Macaca mulatta: one gene and its partners. The protein of the gene in region 2 interacts with the protein of the main gene of each other region in a biochemical or structural test. Links are inferred from orthologs where the notes say so. Each region holds a gene or a part of one and is shown on either strand. Other genes may lie near its edges.

Region 1 (3,852 bases), on a different chromosome or scaffold from region 2:
CTCCTGGGGTACAGGCTGTAGCCTGGATAGTTAGTTGATGGCAGGCACACTTGGACCTATATGACAGAGAGAAATAAAGGAAAGGAGCGGGGGGATCAGAGAACAAAATAACACAATACACATGTACCCAGGGTTGCTCAGTGTGGCCATGTCAGACTCCAGTCTCCCTACCTCATAGCTTTCATGGAGGCCTTATAGCACGAGTTCCAGGTGAGGGAGGAGGTAAAGGAAGATGGGGAAAGCAGTACAGATACAAGGGAAAGGAAGAGGTGAAAAGGAAGACAACCATAACAAAGTTGGAAGCAGGGGCAGCAATTCTCCCCACCAACTCACTTGTCCCGACACCCATCCTTGCAGTCACAGCCAACCAGAAATTCAGGGCCTGTGTTAATGAAAACACCCTTGCCCGGGATACGTTCCTTGCTGTAGGCCACCTGGGGTGGAGGGGTTGTGTCAATCTCATTGACACAGGATAGGGGAACATCTTCCTTCCCATAGGTGATGTCCAAAATATAGTAAAAAGGCTTATAGGGCTGAAACTTTCGGTCCACAAGAACATATGGATCCAAACAGAACATCTCCAGGAAGAGGAAGTCACAGCCAGTCTCGAAAAGGTAGCGTTCGATCTCCTGCATTGTCCGAAGGCAAAGACCACAAGGTGTCTTATAGATAACATGAAAGCCCATCTTGCGGTTAACTCGACGCCGGGCTGTCATCCGCCGGAAGTCATACAGTAATGGAACCAGCAGAGGGTTCTTGCCCCGGTACTGCTCATTCCTCATAGGTCTGACTCGAGACAGACAGGTATAGCTGCAGACATGAGGTAAGTAGAAAAGCTTCTCCATGGGAGCACGGTAGGAGGGCTCTGCTGGGGCCCGCTCCAGCATGCCATGGAAGGCTGGGGGTGCTGGAGGGGCTGGGGGTGCTGAGGGTGCTGGGGCAGAGGCTGTGGAGCCTAAAGGTGATCTGCAAATGAGATACAAGTGATCAGATCAGAAGGCAACAGGACCTCTGTTGTATAATTAACCCTCCAGGTAGCTAAGCCATTTCTTTCATCTTTCAAGCAGCTGTGCTCCTGAAGCTAAAGATGATTCAAGAAAGATCTTCCCTTGCCCTATCAAAGCTGGACGACAAAAATCCCTGGTTACTCTTCACTGACTGATAACATCTCTATTTCTTTTTTTTTTTGAGATGGAGGTTTGCTCTTTTTGCCCAGGCTGGAGTACAATGGCATGATTTCGGCTCACCGCAACCTCCGCCTCCCGGGTTCAAGCAATTCTCCTGCTTCAGCCTCCCAAGTAGCTGGGATATAGGCATGCGCCACCACGCCCGGCTAGTTTTGTACTTTTTAGTAGAGACAGGGTTTCTCCATGTTGGCCAGGCTGGTCTCAAACTCCTGACCTCAGGTGATCCGCCCGCCTCGGCCTCCCAAAGTGCTGGGATTACAGGCATGAGCTACTACTGTGCCTGGCCTAACATCTCTATTTCAACAGTGTACCTTTTCCTAAAATGTATTTGCCTGTGAATTACGGAAGTCGAGTCCAGTCTTCTACCAATATATTTTTTGTCTGCTGTGTGTTCCAGAAATGTCCTTACTAACTCCCAGGATTCAAGGAAAGAGGCTGTGGTGTTTCCTTTCTATTTTAGCAAAGATGGAACTATGTTCAACAAGAAGTTTTAACAAATGGCTTTCTGATGATACCACATTTCCAAGCACCCAGCTTCCGATTCAATTATTCTTACTTTCTATTTCTGAGAAACTTCTATGGGTAAAGCTTCCTTTTCAAGTCCAAACTCCTCACCATCATAAACTTAAACTAAGCCCTTCAGAGCCAAGGAACCTTCCCCTACACAGTGACCACTCATTGCTATCCTGCCTACAGAGAGCCTCAGATTTTCTCACCTATACGTCTGGTTGATCCCAGGTTTCCCACCAGAGACATTTTCACTGAGTGCAGGAGACGTAGGGGAGGAATGACCAGAGCCCACAGATCCTGGTCGGAAGGATGTGCTCTTTTTGGCTACCTGCTTCCGTGACTGGGCAAGCTGGCTTTCCAAGCTTCTAGGAGATCAGAGACGAGGGCGTATAGTAAGGGATGTGGAAAATATAATATGAAAGAAACTGAAGAAAAAAGAAAGAATAACACTTACTCACTGTCACCTGCTTGGGGAGATAGAGGTGAAGCAGGTGGGAAAGGTGGGGCAGGTGGAGCTGTAGGCTGTGGGGGTTCCACTGGCTTGAACTGGGTTCCAGTACCAGTCAGATCCTGTGTGTACTGGACAACAGGGCCTTTGCTCCTCACAGCACCTATAGGAAAAAGGAATTGATCACTGAGAAGATGATAGCTATGATGCTTGTATTCAGTCACACATCTGATCCTTAACTTATACAACATAAAAAGGCAGCAATGGCTGGGCGCGGTGGCTCATGCCTATAATCCCAGCAGTTTGGGAGGTCGAGGCAGGAGGGTTGCTTGAGGTCATGAGTTTGATACCAGCCTGGCCAACATGGTGAAACCCTGTCTCTACTAAAAATACAAAACTTAGATGGGCATAGTGGTGCACATCTGTAATTCCAGCTGCTCAGGAGGTGCATGACAATCACTTGAAACCAGGAGGTGGAAGTTGCAGTGAGGCGAGATCACGTCACTGCACTCCAGCCTGGGCAACAAAACAAGAATTTATCTCAAAAACAAAACAAAACAAAAAAAAAACAAAAAAGCAATGGACACATTCTGAGTAAGTGCTTAGACTCTCAGTTCCTATTATTGACTGGCATGGATGCTGGCATATGTTGTTTTGACTTAGATAATACTTTTTTTATTAAAGTGAAAGCAAGTTTTTTAAGAAAGTAAAGGAATAAAAGAATAGCGGTCGGGCGCAGTGGCTCACGCCTTTATTCCCAGCACTTTGGGAGGCTGAGGCGGGCGGATCACCTGAGGTCAGGAGTTCAAGACCAGCCTGGCCAACATGGAGAAATCCTGTCTCTACTAAAAATACAAAACTTAGCCGGGCATGGTGGCAGGTGCTTGTAACCCTAGTTACTTGGGAGGCTAAGGCAGGAGAATTGCTGGAACCCGGGAGGTGGAGGTTGCAGTGAGCTAAGATGGTGCCAGTGCACTCCAGCCTGGGTGAAAGAACCAGATTCCATCTCAAAAAAAAAAAAAAAAAAAAAAATTGCTACTCCATCGGCAGAGGAGCCTCTTTTTTTTTTCTTTTTATAGACAATGTTCCACTTTGTTACTCAGGCTGGAGTGCAGTGGTCTGACCTTAGCTCATTGTAACCTCGAAATCCTGGGCTTCAAGTAATCCTCCTGCCTCAGCCTCCAGAGTAGCTAACACTACAGGTGCACAACACCACACTCAAGCTTTTTTCTTTTTCTTTTTTTCTTAGAGATAAGAGTCTTTCTATGTTGCCCAGACTGATCTCCAACTCCTGGCCTCAAGTGATCCTCTCACCTCAGCCTCCCAAAGTGCTGAGACTACAGACATGAGCCACCATGCTGGGCCTTAGATAAGACTTTATATCTTCCTATCTCAGATGATTTACCTGATTAATTATGACATACTTTGGGGGAATATTTTCAGAAATATATTCTTTAACCAATTAATTTTGGCAGGAAAAATCAACCAGAAAGTATGACAGTAATATTAAAAAAGAAAACCAAATCTGCTTTTTGTTTCTGAGACAGGGTCTCATGCTGTCACCTAGGCTGGAGTGCGGTGGCACGATCTACCTAGGCTGGAGTGCGGTGGCACGATCTAGCTCACTGCAACCTTGACCTCCTGGCTTCAATTGATCCTCCCACCTCAACTTCTTGAGTAGCTTGGACTACAGCTTAATGCCACTGT
Region 2 (4,337 bases):
AGGCTGAGGCATAAGAATAGCTTCAACTTGGCCGGGCACGGTGGCTCAAGCCTGTAATCCCAGCACTTTGGGAGGCTGAGACGGGCGGATCACGAGGTCAGATCGAGACCATTCTGGCTAACACGGTGAAACCCCGTCTCTACTAAAAAAAAAATACAAAAAACTAGCCAGGCATGGTGGTGGGCGCCTGTAGTCCCAGCTACTCGGGAGGCTGAGGCAGGAGAAGGGCATAAACCCGGGAGATGGAGCTTGCAGTGAGCTGAGATCTGGCCACTGCAGTCCAGCCTGGGCGACAGAGCAAGACTCCGTCTCGGGGGGGAAAAAAAAAAAAAAAAGAATAGCTTCAACTCAGGAGGCAGAGGTTGCAGTGAGCAGAGATTGAACCACTGCACTCCAGCCTGGGCAATAGAACAAGATTCTGTCAAAAAAAAACCAAAAAAAAACAAAAAAAACCCCACGATTTACAAGGTAGATAAGTTCTAGCTTAAAAAAATACGGCAAGACTCCCATCTCAAAAAAAAAAATAAAAAAAAAGACTTCTTGGTCTGGCGCAGTGGCTCATGCTTGTAATCCCAGCACTTTGGAAGACCGAGGCGGGTGGATCACCTGAGGTCAGGAGTTTGAGACAAGCCTAGCCAATATGATGAAACCCCATCTCTACCAAAAATACTAAAAAAAATTGGCCAAGCGTGGTGGCAGGCACCTGTAATCCCAGCTACTCAGGAGGCTGAGGCAGGAAAACTGCTTGAACCCGGGAAGTGGAAGTTGCAGTGAGCTGAGCTCACGCCACTGTACTTCAGCTTGAGCAACAAGAATGAAACTCCGTCTCAAAAAAATAAAATAAAATAATAAAAGACTCTTAAGTAATTTTACCAAGTTCACTCTTACTTTCTTATAAACATAAAATTACATTTCCTTGGTTAAAAAAAAAACCAAAAAACAAGTATTGTAAATACAATTTGATGGATTTCTGGCACAGGACTGGAACCACATATAATACTAAGCAAATCATCCTAAGGGTTTTCATGAGCAAGCTACCAAGTGCACGATAAAACTGACATGCCAAGTACAAGTGCATATTCATCCCATCAAAAAGTCACTGTAGTATTATGCCAGGCTAGTTTTTGTTCCCATGAAAATAAGATTTTTAAAAATAGTTTTATTCAGTGGAAGTACACATATGAATTCCTCACCTGTCGTTCACAATAGGCTTTCATTAGTTTACTAAGTGGTGTATGCCTCTTAATCTTAAACTGCACCACAGAACCATCCTGCCCCGCCACCTTCAAATTAATATGATCGTTGTTCTCAGTCTTGACTCCTTCCTGTTAAAAGAAAAATAAAAGTATAATTTGGGAAATGTGATCAACACACACTTTTATAAAGCAGCAGCAGCCCTAAGTTGCTTCAAAAATCAACAGGTTTCTCATACGGTATGCTAAAACGGCATACGGCTGTTTTCAGCTGCTGAAATCAATGTGAAAGAGGAGAAATCCTGCAGCAACAGTATTAGATAGCTGTCAGATACAGAAAAGCCTACATGCAATACTATCAGTAACAACAATACATGTTTAAAGTTGGGTCCTATTCAGTGTATTGAACGTTCTCTTGAAGCTAAACTTTCTAAAATGGCATATATCACTCCCAAAATATATATTTTACCCCCAAAAAAAGTTAAAAATAAGAGTCTCTTTTCTAAGCACTTTAAGTACAACTGCAAGAAACAAAACAATAAATCTACAGCCTGCCATTCAAAACTCATTACCGTTGTCGTTAAAAAGTTACCAAACTCAGTTTAATAACCTAAATCCAATCTCCATTAAAGTAAACACACACACGAAAAATCGAAGAATATCCCGATTCCCTCCGGAACAGCGGTAATACTCAGGACCACAGTTACGTTCTCCTCTATTAGCAGCTTCATTTTTATCTTCGGTTAAGAGCACTTATTCTCCCCTCCCCTTTGTTGTCATGGGTCAAATACACAGTTTTATCCCAAGTGTTTCTTGTAGATTTCGACCCAACCTAAAGTTGTCCAAAATCGAGTGTAGAAGGCATGCTGTAGCCCTAAAACGCTTCAGAAAGTAAAGGCGCGAGAGGCGGGAGGTGTCACCAAACTAAAAGCAGCAAGTCCCGTGTGCCCCGATGATGGGTGTCCCCCAGTCCTCCCGGGAAGTCTTCGGGTGCCTCAAAAGCCGCATTCAAAAGTTAAGCCGCACAAAGTCTCTCTGCTCCTACCTGTGCCTCCAACTTCATGAAACCACATGGTCTTCGCGGATTAGGGGTTCGTTGGCACCCAGGGAAAAGCCGCTGCCCCTCCCCCCTCAGGTCCCTGAGGCCATTAAAGTGGGAAATACTCCACGGGAATCCCCCTACCCCCAGGCCCAGTACGGCGGCCAGCGGGCATCCAGGTTCCTGCTCATCAGCAGCCCATTGATTCGCCCCGAACCCTCGCCCCGCCGCCGCCGCCCCGGGCAGGAGTCCCCAGATGCCCGCGGTTTCTACCCCTGAGAGGTGAAGCCCGAGCCCAGGGGACTCCCCGCCGCCTCGGAGACTGCAACACCCGACGCGGGGTCGGCGCAGGGTGGAGACCCCGCGCGCCCTAACGCCCCTCCTCACGCGCGCCGGACGGCTGGGCCAAGAATCCCCGTTCGGGGCTGGTGGGCCCGCGGGCGTCCGCGATCTGCCCGCCCAACTCGCGCCCCGCGCGCACTCGGAGGCCGCCGGGGGCGGGAGAGAGCGGCGGGGCCTCCTCCGGCGCGGGAGGGAGGAAGAGAGGGAGGGAGGAAAATGGCGCGGAGCGCCGGGGCCTGAGCTGCGGCCGGCCCTGTGGGGGGCCCGGGAAGGCGCTGGGAGCCAGCGGCGAGCTCTGGCCGGACCCCGGCCCGCGCCCTGACCCCGACCGCGCGGCGAGGCGAAGGGGCCGGCGCCGAGCTCACCTTGGGCTTTTCGTCGGCCATGGCGAGCGCCGGAGTCTCCTCAGCTGCCGCTTCACAAAAGAGGTACCAGGTCCGCACCAAACGAGCACACAAGCAGCACCAGGAGCGGCAGAAGAAGGAGGCGGCAGCGGTGGACGAGGGAGAGGGTGCGCGCACGTCGTGCGCTCCCTCCCCCCACCCTGCGTGCGCGAGCACGAGCCGCCGGGGCCTCCCATTGGCTGGCGCCTCGCGGGAGCGCGCAACGCTTACATAACCACCCCCACCCCCCGCCCCGCGCCACCGCGTCCTGGGCCAGGCGCCCGCCCGGCCGGCGGGAAGAAGCGCGGACACGCGCACCCGGCCCGCCGCGGGGGCGCGCCTGGCTCTGGGCGGGGCTGTATTGTCCTCCTTCGTGGTGGAGCATAATCAAAATGGCTTCCAGCTGGTCCTCGGTGGGAACGATGAGGCTCGAGGCTTTAGACGTGAGCCATAGGCCAGGGAAGGCTGACTGACTAGAGGAAGAAGGGGATTCCTAAATCAAAGCCCCAGCATGAGGTTCTGGAAAAATCTCTCTCTTTCAGTGGACCAGCAGCCCTCCCATGGTTACTTCCTCTCAGTCAGTCTTAACCTGCTTCCCACCGGACTCTTGCCTCAAATGCAGTGTCTTCTTCTTTTTTTTTTTTTTTTTTTTTGAGACGGAGTCTCGCTCTGTTGCCCAGGCTGGAGTGCAGTGGCACGATCTCGGCTCACAGCAACCTCTGCCTCCCAGGTTCAAGCGATTCTCCTGCCTCAGCCTCCCGAGGAGCTGGTATTACAGGCGCACGCCACAACACCCGGCTAATTTTTTGTATTTTTCGTAGGGACAAGGTTTCCCCGTGTTAGCCAGGATGGTCTCGGTCTTCTGACCTCGTGATCCGCCCGCCTCGGCCTCCCAAAGTACTGGGATTACAGGCGTGAGCCACCATACCCGGCCTGCAGTGTCTTCTTCTGTCCTGCTGGTAACCCTAGACTTTGACTAGCTACGGGAAAATGTTCGTGTATTCATTCAACGAACTCCTTACTCATCGCCTATCTTCCAAGAGGAAACAGTATCCTTAAGCGAGAACTACCCAACAATCAAGCTTCCAGCCAATTTAATCATTTCCTCCTTGCATCCAGTTAAAACATAGACATGCATCCCTCCTGTCTGAAGAACAATCCAGTGTGTGCACTGGATTCCATCTTGCTCCTCCCCCTGGGCTTTATTATTTGCTTTTGTCCCTGAATTTTCTTCCTCTCCTCCGTTAGTATAGAAAAAAAAAAAAAAAAAGAAGAAGCTCTCAATTCTATTAAGTTACCATCCTATCTCTCTCCATTCTTGGCCAAACAGCTTGAAAAAATGTCCCTGCCAGCTGTCTCCAACCCCTCCCCTCCCACTCA
Region 3 (4,602 bases), on a different chromosome or scaffold from region 2:
ATTTTAAAAGCAAAGATTTATTTTTAATTAAAAAAACAGTTTCTCCAAATGGAATCAAGCTGCTGAAAGTTTTTTTTTTTTTTTTTTTTTTTTAGGGAGTCTAGCTCTGTTGCCCAGGCTGGAGTGCAATGGTAAGATCTCGGCTCACTGCAATCTCCGCCTCCCGGGTTCAAGCAGTTCTCCTGCCTCAGCCTCCCGAGTAGCTGGGATTACAGGCATGCGCCACAACGTCCAGCTAATTTTGTACTTTTAGTAGAGACGGGGTTTCTCCATGTTGGTCAGGCTGGTCTCTAACACCCCCGGACCTCAGGTGATTCACCCGCCTGGGCCTTCCAAAGTGCTGCGATTACAAGCGTGAGCCACCGCGCCCAGCCTGAAAGATTTTTTTAAAAACTACATGTTGAAGTCTGTACAAATGGCCAGTTACCCACATTTGCCTATTACCTACACATCTCAGTATTATACTGTCATTGGCACAGACGATGTCATAGAACATCACAACAGGATCATGCAATAACCTCAGGCAACAAACATAAATTATATTCATTGCACTACTCTTGCCAATCAGGAAAGATTATTGGTTGGCATTAGGAAAAAGATTTTAAAGGACGTTTAAAACAATAAGCCTTTCTGCATAGGCCTTCGTTAATAAGACAGCTGAATTAGAACAGTCCATTCCCCAAAGACTGCACTTAATCATACCGGTTTTCTGCATCATTTTAATTGCTGTTGACTTTTCATTGACATTTAGCATAGATTTTTCCTCATTTTTGTTTTTTAAAGAACGATACTGAAAGACAAGAAAAATGCTATCAGAGGAGTACAAACGTAAAGGAGTTGAGTTTCAGTCGTGAAACAGTATAATCGTTTTCTGTGCTTTCCATATTTCCTTGAATGAGAATGTAGTTTTTTAATATGAAAAAAATTTTAAAGGAAAAGAAGTTAAAAAAAAAAAAAAGCCTCACTTGTAAGGTAGGGTATGGTTTTTTTAAGTCTCAGGCACGTAAATGACAAGGGACTTCTTTAAAAAACAAACAAACAAACAAACAAAAAAACACTGCCATTTAAAGCTGACTGGTACGATCTTCCCTAAGTTATTTTGAAAACTTCTTGAAAAATAAATGTAGACCACGAATCATTTACCAAACATGTGATTCCAGTACCTCACTACCTTTTCTCTTCAGGTGGCTGTAGTTTAAATTCTAAGGCCTCCTCAAGAAATGACATTTTCACATTTCTTAGGCATCTGTGGTGTCAGAGGAACAAACCCATCACCGGCCTGGCGCAGAAGCGCACACGCCAGGTCTGCCACCGGGCCCCGAGCTGTGGGGATTTTGGATGTAACGTGTCTAGGCCGAACCTGCGCCGTGAAAGGCCGACCCTGCCGAAAGCCCGGGCGGCGGGCGCCCACAAGTCAGGGCTCGGTGCGGCGCGGCAGCCAGCTCTGCGGGCGAGCCGAGTCCGGGCTGCTGAGGGGGAGCAGCGCCGGGGGCGGCGGCGTCGGGGCGGGGGCGGGAGCCGGGCGGGAGCCGGGCGGCAGCTCCAGCGCCCGTGGGGGAGGAGCGGCAGCGGCGGCGGCTGGAGCTGCTGTGGCGACCGACGCGAGGCGGTGGCAGAGGAGACCCACCCCTGTCCACATGGACAGTCGCAAAGGCCTCCGCTGATGCATTCACGCCTGGGCGGGGTGGGCGGACGGCCGTAGCGGCGGCGGCTGCAGAACGAGTTGGGGGCCTGGAAGCGCCTGACGGTCGCGGAGACCTCGCCGCTCCGGCGCGGCGGTGCGGCCATTTTACGGCCTGGGACGAAGGGAGGCGTGTTTGTGTGCTCGCTTTCATCCTCCTTTCTTGGGAACCCACGGCCGGGGGAAGTTTCTCAGGCAGCCTAGGTGGGCGGTGGATGGGGAGTCGTGGGCCGAGAGGAACCGGGCCCGGGAAGCGCCGTCGTCGTCGTCGCCGCTCGCGTTCCCCCCGAGGGGCCTGAGAAGCTCGGGCCGCGGGCCTCGCTGCCCGCCAGCCCGCGGACAGGCCCGGGCGCGCCTGGCCTGCTTTTGTGTAGGCCCATCTGAACGTGGGAGCGCCGCCCGCCTGACGGCTGAGCCCGAGGCCCGCAACCCTGCGGCGTCTACCCTCCTCCGGCGCGGCCCCTCATCCCGGCGAGCACGGCGGCGGTGTGGGCCATGGATTAAGAAGGAGGCGGCGTGGGAGGAGGAAGATGGCGGCCGGCAAGAGCGGCAGCAGCGCCGGGGAGATTACTTTTCTGGAAGGTACGTCTATTTCTGCTCTTGACGGAGAGAAAAGAGGGTATACTGGAAAACGTGGCCCCCAGAACCCCGGGTATTCAGTTATCTGCGCTGGGTGGGTTTGGGGGGCGGTGAAGTACGAGGGATGAGCGATGACGGAGAGGGAGTGTGCTGCGAGCGCGCTTGGTTCGAGTCCGCCCAGGCGAGGGGCTCGGCTGCGAGCCGGTTCGGCCCAGGGGGCGCGGGTGGATTGAGCCGCGAGCCAGAGTTGGTGGGCGTCCTTTGAGAGTGCGCGCTGAAGTCTTTGACATTTAAAAAAATTTTGGGGTGGTGGCCTAAGGATGAGAGCAGCCAGCATTCACATCTTGTTTGGTGTTCATGAAAAGTTTCAAATTGCTAAGGTTGGGTGCAATTGGGGACCAATCTAAGTAGGGAGGGGACAGACAGTTTCATTGAGGTGTGTTTTATACCCTCTGGTCTGTTTCTCAGAGTTTCAGGCTTGCTTTTGCAGCCAGCCTTCCGATTAGGCCTGGCCTTGTCTGATATTCTTTCGGAATGTGTTTTTATAAAAACATTCTATAAAATTATCTGGAAAAAGAGTAAGGTTTACAGTATCAATTTTGGGGCCGTAACTAAAGCTCATTGACACAATTTGAGTGTTTTAGTTACTCGTGAGGGAAAGTTAAACGTTTGCTGTAAGTAGACTAAGCCAGTCTCAAGAAAAGCTGTACGTTTTTGTTGGGGAAGGTGGTAATGGGGAGCAATATTGATTTTTTGGCCTATGAATATATAAGGACCCCCAAAATAGAGCTAAATGTTATTGTAATTGTAGACCAAGAAGTGTCTATATTACTTAATTTGACTATGGGTTCAGTGTTTAGTGATTGAGTTTATAAATATGTTTATCAAAATGAGTCTCTGCTGCTCACAGACTCGTTTTGTTAAAAAGAATTAACTACTCTTTGGATAATTTTGCAAAGATGATTTTCATTGCAATATGTCATAAGCTTTACTTCAAAAAATAACTTTTTTTAGTATGTTTCGGAAACATTACTGAATCAAGAAAGTACGATTTAACTTGAAATTAAGAAAACCCCTAAATAGGTTCTATAGGAGGGTGTTGAGGAATGGGAATGCCTTGGTACTGCTTTGTTAACAGCACCTCGAACAGTACCTGGAACACCATAGGTACTCAATATTAGTCTAGTGAAAGACTAGTGAATAATAGAGGTAATTTTTCTTAATTCTTTTTTCTTGAGTATAGTGAAGTGAAAAAAAAATCTTACCGTACAAGCCAGGCTTTATCTGAAAGTGATGAGAACTTTACAGGAGATTTCCTAGTAAGAGTAAGAAAAGCTTCTGAGTTTTTCTGGGTTCATTTCGTATTATCTCCATTCCAGTTTGCAGAATGGGTACCTGTCAAGAGGCTGAGGGTGCAGCTTGTGTTACAGGTAGTGCTATGTGTGTTGTTTTTGTTTTGAAATCGGAGACAAAAGATGGCTTACTCGTGCTTATTATCTTCAGTATGCAGATGATTATACTTTTCTGCTATCCTAGATTTCCAGCTTCTGTAGGCCTGATTGAGTTAAAATTCTAATTGGATGAACATAGGGAGGATTTTTAAAAGTACAAATAAAGCCACAGATGTAGAGTTAATGTGAGTTTCAAACTACTGCTTTTAGTTTATTCTAATCTAAAGGTCTTTGAGTGTACAGGTGTGATACATTCGAGTTTCACCATGTCTTAAGCATTTTCATAAAGCAAGCAAATGGTAACTTCTTTAGAGCATAAGCATAAGGGTTTTGAGCGCGGTGGCGCACACCTTTAATCACACACAGCGCTTTGGGAGGCCGAGGCAGGCGGATCACTTGAGGCCAGGAATTGGTGACCAGCCTGGCCAACATGCGAAACCCCTCTCTAATGAAAATAACGAAAATTAGCCGTGCGTGGTTGGTGTGCGCCTGTAGTCCCAGCTACTGTGGAGGCTGAGGCAGGAGAATCGTTTGAAAACGGGAGGCAGAGGTTTCAGTGATCGCGCCACTGCACTCCAGCCAGGGCAACAGAGCGAGATTCTGTCTCCAAAAAAAAAAAAGCGTAAGGGAAAGGAGCAATTTTAGTTCCTCATAACACATTTTCATATACTATATTGAATCTTTCCAAATAAACGAATTGTATTTAATACTACTTATGTTTTCTGCTTAATTTCCCATGATTCTTTTGGTGTCTTACACTTTTAATAATAATAAAATATTTCAGCGAGGCGTGGTGGCTCACGCCTCTAATCCCAACACTTTGGGAGGCTGAGGTGGACGGATCACCTGAGGTCAGGAGTTTGACACCAGCCTTGCTGACATGGTGAAACC
Region 4 (3,381 bases), on a different chromosome or scaffold from region 2:
AATTATGGTATCTATTACTTTTTAAATGGTTTTAATTTGTATATCTTTTGTATATGTATCTGTCTTAGATATTTGGCTAATTTTAAGTGGTTTTGTTAAAGTATTAATGATGCCAGCTGTCAGGATAATAAATTGATTTGGAAAACTTCGCAAGTCAAATTTAACTTCTTCAGGATTTCAATTAAAAAAGTTTACTTGGTTTACTATATAATGAGAAGTGAAAACCTTCCTCTAAAATTAAAGTAGGTTTAGGAAAACAGACCCTCAAATTCTAACATTCATTTTCCTAAGCAACTGGATCAATTTGCTGATGGGCATAATCTAAGCATATCTGAATACAGACTTTTTCACTCTTTGTAAAACCTGTTTAGGTTCTGCAAACTAAACAGAGGCTGGGAGCGGAAGAGGGTGGGAAGCTTACGTGCAAATTAACAGACGAGAAATGCTCCAGAAGGTTTATTATTTTAAAGCATAACATTAAAAACAAAAAACTATTTTTAAAACCCTGCTAGATTTTATAATGGATTTGTGAATAAAAAATACCCAGGGTTCTTAGAATGGAATAAATATCCTTTTAATAGTTATATATACAAATATACAACTGTTAGCTTTAATTGGCAGCTCTCTTCTTTTTTCTTCTTTTCACTGGCTTTTTACTTGGTGCTTTTTCTTGTTTTGCACTGGTGGTCTGTGTTCTGTTAATAAAGTAAGAATTTACTAAGCGTATGCTTGTTAAGTTTTGGATTATTGAAATAAGAGGCATTTCTTAGTTTTCCAATAGGATATAAAATGTGTAAGACTGGCATCCAAAGAGTTCTATAGATTTTGGTCCTAATTTTTATAAATCACAAGGTAAAGAAATCACAGAACAGATGGATCGCTAATGAAAAAGGGACGTCTTTTTGTTTATAGTCGTGTGGCAAGATGAGAGTAAAACCAGAGAGCAAACCTCTAGAAGTGTTGAATATATATATATATACATTTGAAATAAACCAGAAACGTGTTACCTTATTTTCTTTGGATTCTTGTCTGGTTCCAAAATGATCATTTCTTCTTCTTCACTATCTGACAGTATTATGGGAGCATCTTTTTTTTTTTTAAAAAAAAAAAAAAAAAAAGGGTAAGCAATCTCTTGCAATATTTACTTCTGCACAAGTTTATTTCTATCAGACGTTCTAAAACTCTTACTGCTGGGGCTGGGGTTGGGCTGGGCGTGGTAGCTCACACTTTTAATCCCCGCATTTTAGTAGGCTGAGGTCATTTTGGTCACCTGAGGTCAGGAGCTCGAGTCCAGCCTGGCCAACATGGTGAAACACCATCTCTATTAAAAACAGAAAAATTAGCCAGTTGTGGTGGCATGTGCTTATAGGCCCAGCTACTCGTGAGGCTGAGGCATGAGAATCGCTTGAACCAGGGAGGTTGAGGTTGCAGTACCACTGTACTCCAGTCTGGGTGACAGAGGAAGACTCCATCCTAAAAAATAAATAAAAATAAGACTATTTGCATATAACAGCCCATGCCACTCTTTAGGTGGAGGCTTACTCTTCTCTTTAAATCAGCTTCTTAGAGCACTCTAGAACTTGTCTGTAACATTTGTTTCTTTAAACTCTTATTTCCTGCAAGTGCTCGAATGGCGTGACAATTTGGTACATGTCATAATAGAAAAGTTAGGGGGAAATCTATATATCATCTTTTGTAGAGACAATTGAATTGTTTGTGCTACTCTATTCCTCCAGAAATAGTTCCAGTTTACATTCCAATAAATAAAAACCCATTTCCCATATACCTTTGGCATTGCTGGTATTTTTAATACTGCCCAAAATACAGTAACAAAAAATGCCATGTCATTTTTCTTTGGATTTTATTTGTATTACTATCAGGGCTGACCATGAAAAATATTACTGGCCATTTGTATATTTTGAGTACTGCTCCCTGTCTTTTGCCTATTTTTCTCCTGATCATTAGTTAATGATATACATAAAACGTGAATTAACCCATATCAATTCTTTGTATTTTTAGTTTTCAGTTAGTTTCTCCCTTTCTTCACATGCTTTAGAAAGGCTGTACCTGCTCCATTTTTCCAATTCTTAGGTCCACCTTCATTATATTCAATTGAAAATACTATTCACTGTTAGAAGAATACACTAAACAAACATATAAGGTATATGCAAGTGCAAGGATATTGTTAACAGTGAAAAAATGGAAACAACTTACATCTTCAACAATAAGAGAATTGTTAAACCAACTAGTTATATTCAATGCTACATAAGTCTATGCAGCATTAGCTTATATCACTGCACAGAGAGTAAATAAATACCTGGGACAAGTATTTGGAAGAATTATACCAAATAGAAGTAACCACTGGGAAATATGAGTAAGGGTCCCAATCAATGGGAAATTTTTTCCTTCCCTATTAAGTAAAAAAACAAAAAGCTCAGGCTCTAGTAGTGTTCATAATTTCTCTCTTTGAAAACAGAAGTATTTGTTTTACATTCCTACTAAACATATCACCTTCAGTTTTCCCTGCCAGCCTAGTTCCCAGTTCCTTGTAGGATTTCTGTTCTTACCACATAAGAAAATAAGTCATTATTCTATTATCTAGACCAGCAAGAATTTGCTTTTTTTTTTTTTTTAAGTAAAAATAACCATACACAAAAACAACTTCTTCAGTTCTATGGCTTTCAAAATGCAAGCAACGTCTAGGACTATCAGTATTCTAGTCATTTCTAGAATTTTTTTATGTTCTAATACTGCAATGTCTAGTATGGTAGCCACTAGCTACATGTGGCTGCTTAATTTTGTATTAAATAAAATTAAAAATTCAGTTCTCAGTAATACAAACCACATTTCAAGTGTTCAGTAGCCACGTGGGGCTAGTGGCTGCTATACCAGTGTAATGTTTCTATCCCAGAAAGTTTTATTTAGACAGTATTACATGTTCCGATAAAGGATGGGCTTTTTGTTTCAGTCTAGAAACCACAAAAAAAGACAGCACGGAGGAATAAGATCTTCCAGAAACTCATTCCCTTAAAACCCACCCAAATACATTACAAAAAAAAATTTTTTTTAATTAAAAATGTCACTATCATTTTATGCCAAAGTGTACCACTACTCTACAAAGATATGCATATTCTTTTAGCAAGTCGTGTTAGTACTGCAGTTAGCCACAATAATTTAGTTGAAATTTAAATCACAATATTTAGCCCCTCTAAAAATGCAATACTTATATCCCTATATTTATATATCTATATTCTCTCTATATAGTATCCTGTATGTTATTTATCTAGTATACATCTCTATATAGCTGATATGCTATATATTACTATATATAGTGATAATATAAATATACACATTTTATGCATTATTGTATATACAAAATAC
Region 5 (3,845 bases), on a different chromosome or scaffold from region 2:
CCTAAGGAGCCCCCTGGGGAGGAGGCAGCAGTGCCAGGAGCAGCTTCAGCAGAGCTGTGAGAAGGAGGGCGGAGGAGGGGGGAAAACAGGGAGGTGGGGATGGGAAATGAGGCCAAAACCCCACCTCTATCCATCACCTGTAGCTGAGCTGTGGCTGCCTCCCTACTGTAGGTGGGTGGTGGGTGTCGGGTGGCATGGGTGTGGGGCAACTGCCCTAGCACAAGGGGTTCTGGCCTCACATACCGATACCCCCCACTTAGTGCCAGTGAAGCAGGGGTCCAGCAGCCACCACTGGAGCTGAGGCCTGGAGAGTACAGGGTGCTGTTGTGTGTGGACATTGGCGAGACCCGGGGGTGAGTGAGGTGGGGAGAAATGAGGTAGATGATCGGAGGAGGCTGGGGGGTAGGCACTGCCCTGCCCTGATCTAGGATTCCTTCCTTGCCACTCCAGGGGCGGGCACAGGCCGGAGCTGCTCCGAGAGCTACAGCGGCTGCACGTGACCCACACAGTGCGCAAGCTGCACGTTGGGGATTTTGTATGGGTGGCGCAGGAAACCAATCCTAGAGACCCAGGTGAAGGGCCGTGGGCAGGCTGGCGCCAGGGGCAGGGCCTGGTGGGTGGGGGATCACAAGCTAACGGCTGGCTTGTCAGCAGCGAGCCCTGGGGAGTTGGTACTGGACCACATTGTAGAGCGCAAGCGGCTGGATGACCTTTGCAGCAGCATCATTGACGGCCGCTTCCGGGAGCAGAAGGTAATTTTGCTGGCTTTGCCAGGCTTCCCTGACTGCTCTGAGGCCCCCCTTTTCAGCCCAGAGCAATCCAGGGGCACTTCTGGCAGCCTCCTTGAGGCAGAGCCCTTTGGAATCCAGCCACATCCACCATGTGGTTGCTCCAGAATCAGACCCCCACAGGCCTGTCCAGGCACACAGTAGGAAGCTAGGTACCTGCATTTTTGGGCTGAGCTCAGGAGCATATTAAAGACCTCTTGGGTACCGAGCCCCTGCAGTCTTGGATAAACAAGGCTTAAACCTCCAGAATTGGAAATACAGAGGCCGTACCTTGGTACTTGCTGCTGGGTGGACCCCCTAGTCACAGAGGCCATGTACCGGCCCAGGGGAGGCTTGAAGGATGTTGAGAGATGGAGGAAGGGCTTTCTAGACAAGAGTGTCAGCATGAACAAAGCTGTGGAGGCCCTTCTGAGGCAGGTGGAGAGGCTAGGGAGGATGCAGAGGCTAACTGGTGGGAACAGGGTCGTAGCACCATTTTGAGTGTGACATCATGGACGCCCAGGCATGTGGTCATCCAGCCTGACCCTCCCTGCCCACTCTGTCCACTTCCCCAGTTCCGCCTGAAGCGCTGTGGCCTGGAGCGCCGGGTATACCTGGTGGAAGAGCATGGCTCGGTCCACAATCTCAGCCTTCCTGAGAGTACGCTGCTGCAGGCTGTCACTAACACTCAGGTGAGCAGGGAGGGCAGGGCCAGGCAGGCAGGGGCCGCTGTGGTCCATGGTTCATGGTCTGGGCCAGGAACCACCTTCCCTCTCTTGGGTCCTCTTCCCCAGGTCATTGATGGCTTTTTTGTGAAGCGCACAGCAGACATTAAGGAGTCAGCTGCCTATCTGGCCCTCTTGACGCGGGGCTTACAGAGACTCTACCAGGTGAGCAGAGGCCCCTGTCCCAGTGTCGGGACACAGCCCACAAGGAATTCACCTTGCCTGGGCCCTGTGCATCCCCAAAAGAAGCAAGGTAGGTGAGATCCCCATTTCTCAGGCTGGCCCCCCGAGGCTGAGGACTGGGCAGGGGCTGGCTGGAGTTGTCCCTTTGAGCTCCAGCCTGGCCTCAGTCCCTTCTTCCCTCAGGGCCACACCCTACGCAGCCGCCCCTGGGGAACCCCTGGGAACCCTGAATCAGGGGCCATGCCCTCTCCAAACCCTCTCTGCTCACTCCTCACCTTCAGTGACTTCAACGCAGGAGCCATCAAAAATAAGGTACCGTCTCTGCCCAGCTTCTCGGACGTGGCCTGGCCCAGACCCCCACTGATCCAGCCCTTCCCCAAACCCAGGCCCAGTCAGTGCGAGAAGTGTTTGCCCGGCAGCTAATGCAGGTGCGCGGAGTGAGTGGGGAGAAAGCAGCAGCCCTGGTGGATCGATACAGCACCCCTGCCAGGTAGGCCCTAGAGGGCCCTTAGGTGTCCTCAGCCCCTGCTCTCCGTGCATGGAATTCACCTTAATCCATGCTTTGTGGAGGGAGCTTGGCCTTGTGTGGGCTGTGCAGACCAGAGATGGACAGATCCCAGGGTGCTCATGGAGGTCAAGCGGGGAGGAAGCCAGCAGACCCACACAGTGTCCCAGGCATTGGAGGCCACAGGAGGGAGGGAAATGTCCCACGTGGTGGCGAAGAGGCTTCTTGGAGAAGGGGGCTGGGCCATTAAGGGGAGTGAGGGTGATGGTTTGGAGCCTTTGCTGGTTTTGCCCCAGGGTTCCCACAGGGAGGGAGGACAGCCAGGCTGGCCTGGGGCCTTGAGTGCCAGGCTCAGGAAGTGGGGCAGTGTCCCAACTCTTCTATCCCATGCTGACCCCTCTGCCTGGCCCCTCATGGTGCTGGCCCAGAGTGGGCCACCGTCAGCCTCAGAAACTCAAGCCCCTGTCCCCCAGCCTCCTGGCCGCCTATGATGCCTGTGCCACCCCCAAGGAACAAGAGACACTGCTAAGCACCATCAAGTGTGGGCGTCTACAGAGGTGAGGGCAAGAGACGGAACCTGGAGGGAGTGGTGGGGACTGGGGCTGCCCTAGGCCCAGGGCGTGACCCTCGCTGCTTCTCTTCCTGCAGGAATCTGGGGCCTGCTCTGAGCAGGACCTTATCCCAGCTCTACTGCAGCTACAGCCCCCTGACCTGAGCTTATGCTGTGAAACAGCCCCCAGCCCCCATCTGTACCCCCACGCAGGCTAGCCAGCCTTTTAACAACATCTTTTGTGGTAAAATTAGAATCTAAGTGTTTGCAGCCATATGTGTTATGTAGAAGATGCCTGGCCCTGGGGACCTTGTGAAATACGCAGGAACCAGGGATACCGTCTGGACCAGTGGTTTTTAAACAAAGCTGCTTAGGACCTGGGATTGCCTGGTCAGGGAGATGGAGTCAGTGGGGCACTGCAGCTTTGAATCGATTTTATGTCATCAGTTGGTCCTCATCAAATAAAACTTCCTTAGGAGTGCAGAGGGCTCATTGGGAAAATAAAAATAATAAAAATAAATAAAACTTCCTAAAAGAAAAGCTTGAAAACCACTAACAGTCCAGTTGCCTCTTTTTATAGAAAAACAGGCCCAGGGAACTACTAGGGCTTATCCAAATGTACAGTTTGAGGCAGAGTTAGGACTGGAACCCAGGGCCTCCTGGCGCTCTCCGGAGTAGAGTTTCTTAGGACCCCTGCAAGCCAGCCAAGTCCACATCTCTGGGCCAGGGCCTGGAGTCCGCCCTCCTCGTTACCTCCTCTCCTCTCGGGGTGGCTGAAGCTCGTGGTACAGAGCTCCCAGCTCCTGTCAATGGGGCCCCCTGGGCCTGAGCATATAGAGACCCCCATTTAGGTGAACTTGGCCTGCCCCTCCAAGTCCCACCCTGCCCCAGCCTGAGGCTTGCTGCAGTGTGACCCGCCCACCTCAGCCACCAGGACTCCTTCTTTCTCCCTTTATTGCCTTTCTCGTTCTACCCTTCGTAACAGGCTCCTCAGCTAGGGTAGCTGCAGGGAGGGTGGCTCCCTCCTGCTCCTCAGAAGGTGTAGGCCCCCACAAAGACGGTGAGCCTCAGTACAGAGCTGGCCCGGTAGCTCATGAGGGAATTCATGGTGACCA
Region 6 (4,304 bases), on a different chromosome or scaffold from region 2:
ACCCAGTGAGTGGGTCAGCTGGAAGCCCTGCAGGCAGTCACAGCTCTCTGCCTCCTTCCGTACCACATCCAGGACAGAATCAACCAGCTCGGCCCCCTCTGTGTAGTGGCCTTTGGCCCAGTTGTTACCTGCCCCAGACTGACCTGGAATGCAGTCAGGAGAAAAGCTCAATTAACAGGGTATGGAAGATACATGATGTTTCCATCTTTCAACTTTAGAAATAATTCCCTTGGATGTATCTTCTTTCTCCTTCACTGTGATGTATTCTCCCCCCACTGCCCCATAATGTACCAGCAACAGCAGGCACTACCTCTACCCTACCTCTACCCTCCATTAGATTTCAGAATACAGTTCTTAGCACTCCAGTACAACAATCATCTCCTAACTTTTGCTGTGTCCTTGCACCCAAATAAGTTGAACACGATAGTATATCATCTGCTAATATCATCTGTATAACTTACCAAATACAAAGTTGTCTGGTCTAAAGATCTGGCCAAAAGGACCTGAGCGAACAGAGTCCATGGTCCCAGGTTCTAGATCCACCAGGATGGCACGAGGAACATATTTGCCACCTACAAAGAATAAAGTTAAGAGCTGTGAGATCTGGCAGAGGGAAAGGTTTATAGATACACTGGGAATGGAAGACAGCAGGGACCCAAGACTTGTTCCAGGTCCTGCCACCAGGTGGCAGCAGACGTCTTTGGCCCCGACGGTGGTTCACAAAAGGGAGAAAATGATAGATTCACCGAAAGGGGATAAGGCGTGCCAGGAATGGAAAGAGACCCCAGAGAAGTGGGAGACAGGGAAGGGGAACCTGAGCTGCCCGGGCTCTTGCCCTTACCTGTGGCTTCATTGTAGTACACGGAGATGCGGTCCAGCTGCAGGTCGCTGTCCCCGTGGTAGGTGCCGGTGGGGTCGATGCCATGTTCATCACTGATCACCTCCCAGAACTGCCGGGCAGGAGCAACGAGACCACAAGTCAAGTCCCAGTCAACTACGTCCCCAACTACCATTTTATTTCATCTTTTTCTTAACTTTTTTCTTTTTTTTTTTTGAGACGGAGTCTCGCTCTGTCGCCAGGCTGGAGTGCAATGGCGCTATCTCGGCTCACTGCAACCTCTGCTTCCCGGGTTCAAGCGATTCTCCTGCCTCAGCCTCCGGAGTAGCTGGGACTACAGGCGCGCGCCACCACGCCCAGCTAATTTTTTGTATTTTTAGTAGAGACGGGTTTCACCATGTTGACCAGGATGGTCTAGATCTCTTGATCCGCCCACCTCGGCCTCCTAAAGTGCTGGGATTACAGGCGTGAGCCACCGCGCCCAGCTTCTTTTAATTTTTAAGACAGGGTCTTCCTCTGTTGCCCAGCCTGCAGTGCAGTGGTGCAATCACGGATCACTACAGCCTGAAACTCCCAGGCTCAACCGATCCTCCCATCTCAGCCTCTCGAATAGCTGGGACCACAGACGCGCGCCACCACACCCAGTTAATTTTTTTTTTTTTTTTTTTGAAGAGATGTGGCCGGGGGGAGGGGTCTCGCTTTGTTGCCCAGGATGGTCTCAAACCCCTGAGCGGGAGCGATCCCAATTAGCCCGCCTCAGCCCCACATCTCCCATTTTAATCCCACACGCGCTCAGGCCGTTGTTCTAGGGCCTGGCATCCCGTGTGCCTGCCACACCCTTCCCCTAGACACTCGCTCCCCCGGGAAAGCCACAGCTTTCCCGGCTCGGGATTATGTGCAGCGGGTCCCAAGTGCTCGGTGGGCGGATGGAGGTCGACCATACTTGGATAAGCGCCGCTGTTCTTCCCCCGAGCTGGGCACCGCCCCACCGCGCGGCGCACAAAAGGCTCGGGGCACTAGAAGAGCTGCTGCCGCAGTCGACCACCCCCCACCCTCCACGTGACTGCGGCGCACGCGCAGGTCGAGCCGCCGACAAAGGACTTCGCACGTGGGCGGGGCCAGGGGCAAGAATTCCGCGCGAGGGGCGGGGCCCAGGGTAGCGCGCCCCTCCCGGCGGGCAACGCCGCATTGTCCCCGCGCGCCAGCGGCGCCCTGGCCCCGCCCCGCAGGGCCCCGCCCTTCTGCTACAACGTAGCACCCGCACTTCCTCCCGCCCCTCCCCCGCTACACTGTAACCGCGCGCAAAAAAAAAAAAAAAAAAAACCCTTGGCCTCGGAATTTTATTCCTTTGCTAGATTTCTCCCCCTTGATTTAAAGCATTCTTTCTCTCCCATTAAGTCCTGAAGGACTCGTTAAAGAAAACCACACACCCCCATTTTCTCGACATATCAGTTCACGCCCTAAAGAGGTCTCGCTTAGGTGCCATGAAAGCAAGAAAAATTAATCCCGTTCTTATTCTCCTTCCACCCCGGAACAACTACAGGACCGGCCCTCCGGGGTCGCGGGCGCGCTGGGGTCCCTGATCTTTTGTGAATGGTAGCGCCCAGCGCAGCCCACCCTGGCGCATCGCCCCCCGACCTTTGCACTGGAGCTCTCTGCAGCCGCCCGACAGCCTCACCCCTTCCCGCTCCCGTTTGGCCCTAAGAACCCCGCAGGGGGGGCTGGGCGGGATGCACATGGGCAAAACCTCGCCCCGCTTTGTCTCCGACTGTTTCCGCATCTCTCTCCCTGCCCGGTTCTTGGACCGTTAGAAGCCCTTTTAAGTAACATATGTCCTTGGTCTTCCCGCCCCCGAAACCCGAAGAGCCCTTTTACTAGTTTCTCCAAAATGTGCCTGCCAAGAAAAATGATTCCCAGTTTTCCAAAAGCAAATGCTAGTTATTATATATATAAATGTAACAAACTTGGGAGGGGCAAAGCTTGATTAAGAATGGAGAGTGCAAATGCCCCACAACCATTTTTTCATAACTTACCTGGATTTTTCCTTCTAAAAAGAAATAAAAGAGGTGTAAAATTCTTACCTTGGCACCGATCTGGTTGCCACACTGACCGGCCTGGATGTGCACGATTTCCCTCATGGTTAAAATTAATTTTTTTTGCTCGCCTCAAGGTATGTATGGGGCAAGAAAATAAGTAATTTTTTTTCTCTGCAGGTCGCAGGCTGGAAGGTTGGAACGCGCCCCAGACGCTGGAGCAGCGAGGTGCGAACGCGGCGGCAGGAAGGTTCTGAGAGGGAGAAAGGAGAGGGGAGGGCGCGGAGGGAAGGCAGGCTGGGCGGGGCGCGCGTGCGCCGGGGCTGGGAGGCGGGAGAATCGGCCCCGCGCGCGGTCGGGAGACAAAGCCTCATCGAGCCTGGCCCTGATTAGTCGATGCCGGTCATGTACCAGGCGTCCATTGGCCTCTGAGCCAGTGGACGAGCGCAGTCCTCTTTGGGAGTTGTAGTCCCCTATTGTTGTTCACGGTGCAAAATGAAGTGACGAATGGGTGGGTACCGGTTTGGTTTTTGTTGGGTTTTTGTTTTGTAAATGAAAAACGACCTTGCGCAAGATTCCTTTCCTCTGTGCCTGAGGTTTTTGTACAAAAAGTGAGCAGTTCTCGGGGATGCAGGGATTGAGAAGTCTGGGGTTCCAGAAGTTGGGTGGTGAGGTACGCCCTAAAAGCTCCCAGCTGCAGTACCTCTAGGGAAGACAGAATTGCTTAGCTCAGCGAAAAATGGGGAGGAGTGTGGCACCGTGCTCTGCTACCTCTGGCCTTTGGTGACCCAAGTCATGAACTTAAGTAAGCTTCTGCTCTCTCAAATACTTCAAGAAGGGAATCGCCCTCTTGCTATTTCCTTGGAAATTTTCGAGTCATTGTTTTGAAAGAGAAACAAAATTGCAGCAAGGGCTTTTCAGGATAGAGATGTTGTCTGGAGAGTATGTTCAAAGAATAAAATAGTTTAGAGAAACCGACATCGGGGATTTGTGAAACTAGAAGTCTCCATCCACGTAGGAGATCTGGGCCTTAGGGCAGACTTTGAAGACACCTTGATCTTCTTGTCAAACAGGGAACTATGGAATGAGATGCCTGATAGATTTTCAGTTTTTTCAGCCTACCTTTTTAGACATGTTAATGAAGTCAGTGGTTTTTCAATTCGCTTATTTCACTGACCAGGTGGCCGCCATTGCAACTCTGCAAGATACCCAGTATTGAAAAAGGAGAGAGGGGAAATTGATGGGGGAAAATTGGATGGGCTCAAGACAGAGTCCACCAGCTTCTTCCCAGAGATTTATTCACTTATTTGATAGTTACTATGTATCCACCAAATTAGGAACTATGGTTACAAAATGATTAATAATTAGTTCCCTGTCCTCCAGGATGTTGCAGTCTGGCCACTCAGAAATGTAGTATCAAGTCAACATCATTG
Region 7 (2,741 bases), on a different chromosome or scaffold from region 2:
TGCTCCAGATAAGAAAATTCCTATGTTGAAAACATGGAAATAATGGATTTGTATATCATACATGCAAATTACACAAAAGAAAACACACATGAAAATGTTGCTGACACGAAAGCCTTTCTTTTTTAATTTGGTTGATACACATTTGACAAAATACTTTAGAATAAAATAATCCATGAACAGGTACAAGGTATTTACAGTAACAGAACTGAAAAACATAAAATCGATATATTTCTTTAACAGAAATGTCTATAAAATTTTCTACTGTGAACCTGGAAGACTTTCAGTTCCTACTTATTAACCTGGTCTTAAGCCCCAACAGGCGACATGTAAGGCCCAGGAGTAGGACATACAAACTCTAACACATTTGGCAATTAAGAATCATCTATTAGTGTGAGCTGGCGGGTGGGGGCTGGGATGGGGAGGGAAGAACCAGATCTTAGGGTAAGATATAGAATGGAAGACTCCACTGAAAACAACTATGGACAAAAAAGATCTAAAATCACACTTATCGTTCCACTTGTCTCCTGTGGGAGAAGGCTGCAAACTATTTTAAAGACTTACTCAATTTTTCCCATTAGCAGACAATCAGCAACCCTGAGACTCCAACATTTCATGACATAAAAGCTAATAAACATCTAGAAGCTGATTAAGATTTATAAACTAATTTTACATCAGATAGAAAATAACTCTTATGATTTAAAAATACATGTGAGGAAACAAAATTTCTCAAATTTATTTTTCATGCCTAATTCTTAAACATTTCAACTAATATTTTCTATTATCTGAAATTAGTTCCACACACAGATATACTTTAACTGAATGCTTTGAGTACAACTTGCTCTTGATTATTAAATGGAATGCCTACTTCCTTGTTTTATTATTCATACATATTTAAAAGAAATGAGAAGTTTAATCCATCTGGACTATATAGAAATTGATTGACTTACAAGATAGCCACATAGACAGAGACCAGAAAAAAATAATCAAATGCTCATTCTTAGTAACACAACTGAGACAGTGAAACACGGTACACCACATGTCATCTACATATCCAACTAGGCTATTTGATAAGCTATACTTACAAAGAATGGTTTCAACGAACACCTTTGTAGAACAAATATTCATACTGAGCTATCAAATTTGCTGCTCCTCCAGTGGCGGTTCAAGAGCTTCCATTAGCTTTTTATTTGCCTCTTCATTATGCCGGCTTTGACAATGAGTTAAATGTTTCTTAAAACCTCGTGGGAAATTTGATTCAAAATTACAACGTGGACATTTAAGTAAACTCTGCCCATGGGCTGCTACATGATTTTTAAGGAGAGATTCCAAAAGAAAAGCCTTTCCACAAATTGTGCATTTGTAAGGGCTATGAACATTATGCTTATTAACCAAATGATGCAAAACAGCACCTTTTTTCATAGCACGACAGCAACAAATTTTGCAATAATACTTTCCTTTTCCACGCTTCATATATTTTGCAATCTCCTCTTCAGAGATAAAAGCTTCTTTTTCTTCAGTAAACTGTAGCACATTTCTAGACTGCTCTGGACTAGTCATGTCCATTTTGTTCTCTTTGCTAAAATCAATGGATTCCACATCAACCTGCTCTTGATCACTGCTTGATTCCTGGCCCTTAACATCCACCACATCCAAATCTGTTTTTATGTACTCACTACTACTAAGCTCAGCATCTGAGCTCTCTTGGTTGTCTTTCTTGAGCTTCTTTGAGGAAGGAAATAAAGTATCTTCCAAAAGTTTCTTAGGTGAAGCTAGAAGTTCTTCCTGAACCAAAAGATCACATTTTTGATCATCTATGGCATCTATTTGTAGTTCATCACCAAGCTCAACAGCCTTCTGTGATTCTGAGAATAGAGCAGATTTGGGGAGTTCAGGGAAAAGGGCATGCTTCCGGGGCTCTGGAAAAAGGGCACGTTTGCGTGGTTCTGGAGAAGCTGGAGGGGCTGTTTTGGCAGGCTCGGGAAACAGGGCAGGTTTTCTAGGCTCAGTATCAATAGAGAGAACTGGCTTCCAGATATCTGAGGCTGCTTTGGGGGACTCAGATGGCCCAGAAGAACCTGGTTTTCGGGTCTCAGGGAAGACAGGTTTCTGAGGCTCAATAAAAAAGGAAGACTTCCAGAGATCAGGAGAACCGCCACGGGAACTTTTCTGGGACTCAGGGAAATCAAGTGAAGCAGGAGAAGTTTTCCGCTGATCAGGAGAAAGCTTCCAAAGGTCTGGTGACCCTGAGGGTTTTCTGAGCTCTGGAGATCCTGCTGGACTACGGATCTCTGGGGATAGTGGTGGGCCGGGTTTGCGAAGCTCTGGAGACACTGGGGGAACTGCCTTCCAATGTTCAGGAGACAACGTGGGAGCTGTCTTTCGGAGTTCTGGTGGGCCAGACTTCCATGACTCAGGAGATGCAGGGGGGGACTTCCAGGAGCTGGGTGAGACTGATGAAGATTTCCAGGATGCAGAAGACACAGATGGAGTTGGTTTCCAAGGTCCAGGAGATATAGAAGGAATTGGTTTCCAAGGTCCAGGAGACACAGATGGAGCAGGTTTAGCTGGCTTCCAAGGTCCTGATGACGCTGAAGGACTGGATTTCCAAGGCCTAGGGGACCCAGGTGGCCCTGGCTTCCAAGAGCCTGGTGACACAGCAGGGGCTGGTCTCCTAGGCTCTGGGGAGACAGCAGGGAATGGCTTCCAAGGTTCAGGAGACCCTGAAGGGGATGGCTTCCTTG

Evidence for each region.
Region 1: the proteins of SUMO2 (region 2) and SETDB1 form a complex in vitro, tested with the Homo sapiens proteins (2 studies listed by BioGRID). The link is inferred for Macaca mulatta from reciprocal best matches to the Homo sapiens genes SUMO2 and SETDB1.
Region 3: the proteins of SUMO2 (region 2) and SENP6 form a complex in vitro, tested with the Homo sapiens proteins (2 studies listed by BioGRID, with this or other methods). The link is inferred for Macaca mulatta from reciprocal best matches to the Homo sapiens genes SUMO2 and SENP6.
Region 4: the proteins of SUMO2 (region 2) and EXOSC9 form a complex in vitro, tested with the Homo sapiens proteins (2 studies listed by BioGRID). The link is inferred for Macaca mulatta from reciprocal best matches to the Homo sapiens genes SUMO2 and EXOSC9.
Region 5: the proteins of SUMO2 (region 2) and MUS81 form a complex in vitro, tested with the Homo sapiens proteins (2 studies listed by BioGRID). The link is inferred for Macaca mulatta from reciprocal best matches to the Homo sapiens genes SUMO2 and MUS81.
Region 6: the proteins of SUMO2 (region 2) and TUBB form a complex in vitro, tested with the Homo sapiens proteins (2 studies listed by BioGRID). The link is inferred for Macaca mulatta from reciprocal best matches to the Homo sapiens genes SUMO2 and TUBB.
Region 7: the proteins of SUMO2 (region 2) and CHAMP1 form a complex in vitro, tested with the Homo sapiens proteins (2 studies listed by BioGRID). The link is inferred for Macaca mulatta from reciprocal best matches to the Homo sapiens genes SUMO2 and CHAMP1.

Annotation. Positions count from the first base shown.
Region 1 is NC_133406.1:116,158,135-116,161,986, forward strand, and holds part of SETDB1 (histone-lysine N-methyltransferase SETDB1), read right to left. Parts: intron 2,309-3,852; coding exon 2,152-2,308; intron 2,063-2,151; coding exon 1,904-2,062; intron 967-1,903; coding exon 334-966; intron 57-333; coding exon 1-56. UniProt on the Homo sapiens protein: Histone methyltransferase that specifically trimethylates 'Lys-9' of histone H3. H3 'Lys-9' trimethylation represents a specific tag for epigenetic transcriptional repression by recruiting HP1 (CBX1, CBX3 and/or CBX5) proteins to methylated histones.
Region 2 is NC_133421.1:84,873,124-84,877,460, forward strand, and holds the start of SUMO2 (small ubiquitin-related modifier 2), read right to left. Parts: upstream 3,090-4,337; 5' UTR 2,961-3,089; coding exon 2,940-2,960; intron 1,326-2,939; coding exon 1,194-1,325; intron 1-1,193. UniProt on the Homo sapiens protein: Ubiquitin-like protein that can be covalently attached to proteins as a monomer or as a lysine-linked polymer.
Region 3 is NC_133409.1:110,131,123-110,135,724, reverse strand, and holds the start of SENP6 (sentrin-specific protease 6), read left to right. Parts: upstream 1-1,567; 5' UTR 1,568-2,211; coding exon 2,212-2,263; intron 2,264-4,602.
Region 4 is NC_133410.1:130,631,147-130,634,527, reverse strand, and holds the end of EXOSC9 (exosome complex component RRP45), read right to left. Parts: intron 1,087-3,381; coding exon 1,008-1,086; intron 997-1,007; exon of another isoform or gene 696-996; coding exon 611-695; 3' UTR 556-610; downstream 1-555. UniProt on the Homo sapiens protein: Non-catalytic component of the RNA exosome complex which has 3'->5' exoribonuclease activity and participates in a multitude of cellular RNA processing and degradation events.
Region 5 is NC_133419.1:8,559,046-8,562,890, reverse strand, and holds the end of MUS81 (structure-specific endonuclease subunit MUS81), read left to right. Parts: coding exon 1-56; intron 57-260; coding exon 261-353; intron 354-450; coding exon 451-572; intron 573-651; coding exon 652-752; intron 753-1,342; coding exon 1,343-1,459; intron 1,460-1,561; coding exon 1,562-1,657; intron 1,658-1,858; coding exon 1,859-1,987; intron 1,988-2,044; exon of another isoform or gene 2,045-2,061; coding exon 2,062-2,165; intron 2,166-2,608; coding exon 2,609-2,737; intron 2,738-2,828; coding exon 2,829-2,895; 3' UTR 2,896-3,282; downstream 3,283-3,845. Other genes in the region: CFL1 (cofilin-1), read right to left, coding at 3,763-3,845. UniProt on the Homo sapiens protein: Catalytic subunit of two functionally distinct, structure-specific, heterodimeric DNA endonucleases MUS81-EME1 and MUS81-EME2 that are involved in the maintenance of genome stability.
Region 6 is NC_133409.1:152,322,294-152,326,597, forward strand, and holds the start of TUBB (tubulin beta chain), read right to left. Parts: upstream 3,051-4,304; 5' UTR 2,977-3,050; coding exon 2,920-2,976; intron 1,878-2,919; exon of another isoform or gene 1,594-1,877; intron 951-1,593; coding exon 842-950; intron 573-841; coding exon 462-572; intron 144-461; coding exon 1-143. UniProt on the Homo sapiens protein: Tubulin is the major constituent of microtubules, a cylinder consisting of laterally associated linear protofilaments composed of alpha- and beta-tubulin heterodimers.
Region 7 is NC_133422.1:108,401,997-108,404,737, reverse strand, and holds the end of CHAMP1 (chromosome alignment-maintaining phosphoprotein 1), read right to left. Parts: coding exon 1,135-2,741; 3' UTR 843-1,134; downstream 1-842. UniProt on the Homo sapiens protein: Required for proper alignment of chromosomes at metaphase and their accurate segregation during mitosis. Involved in the maintenance of spindle microtubules attachment to the kinetochore during sister chromatid biorientation.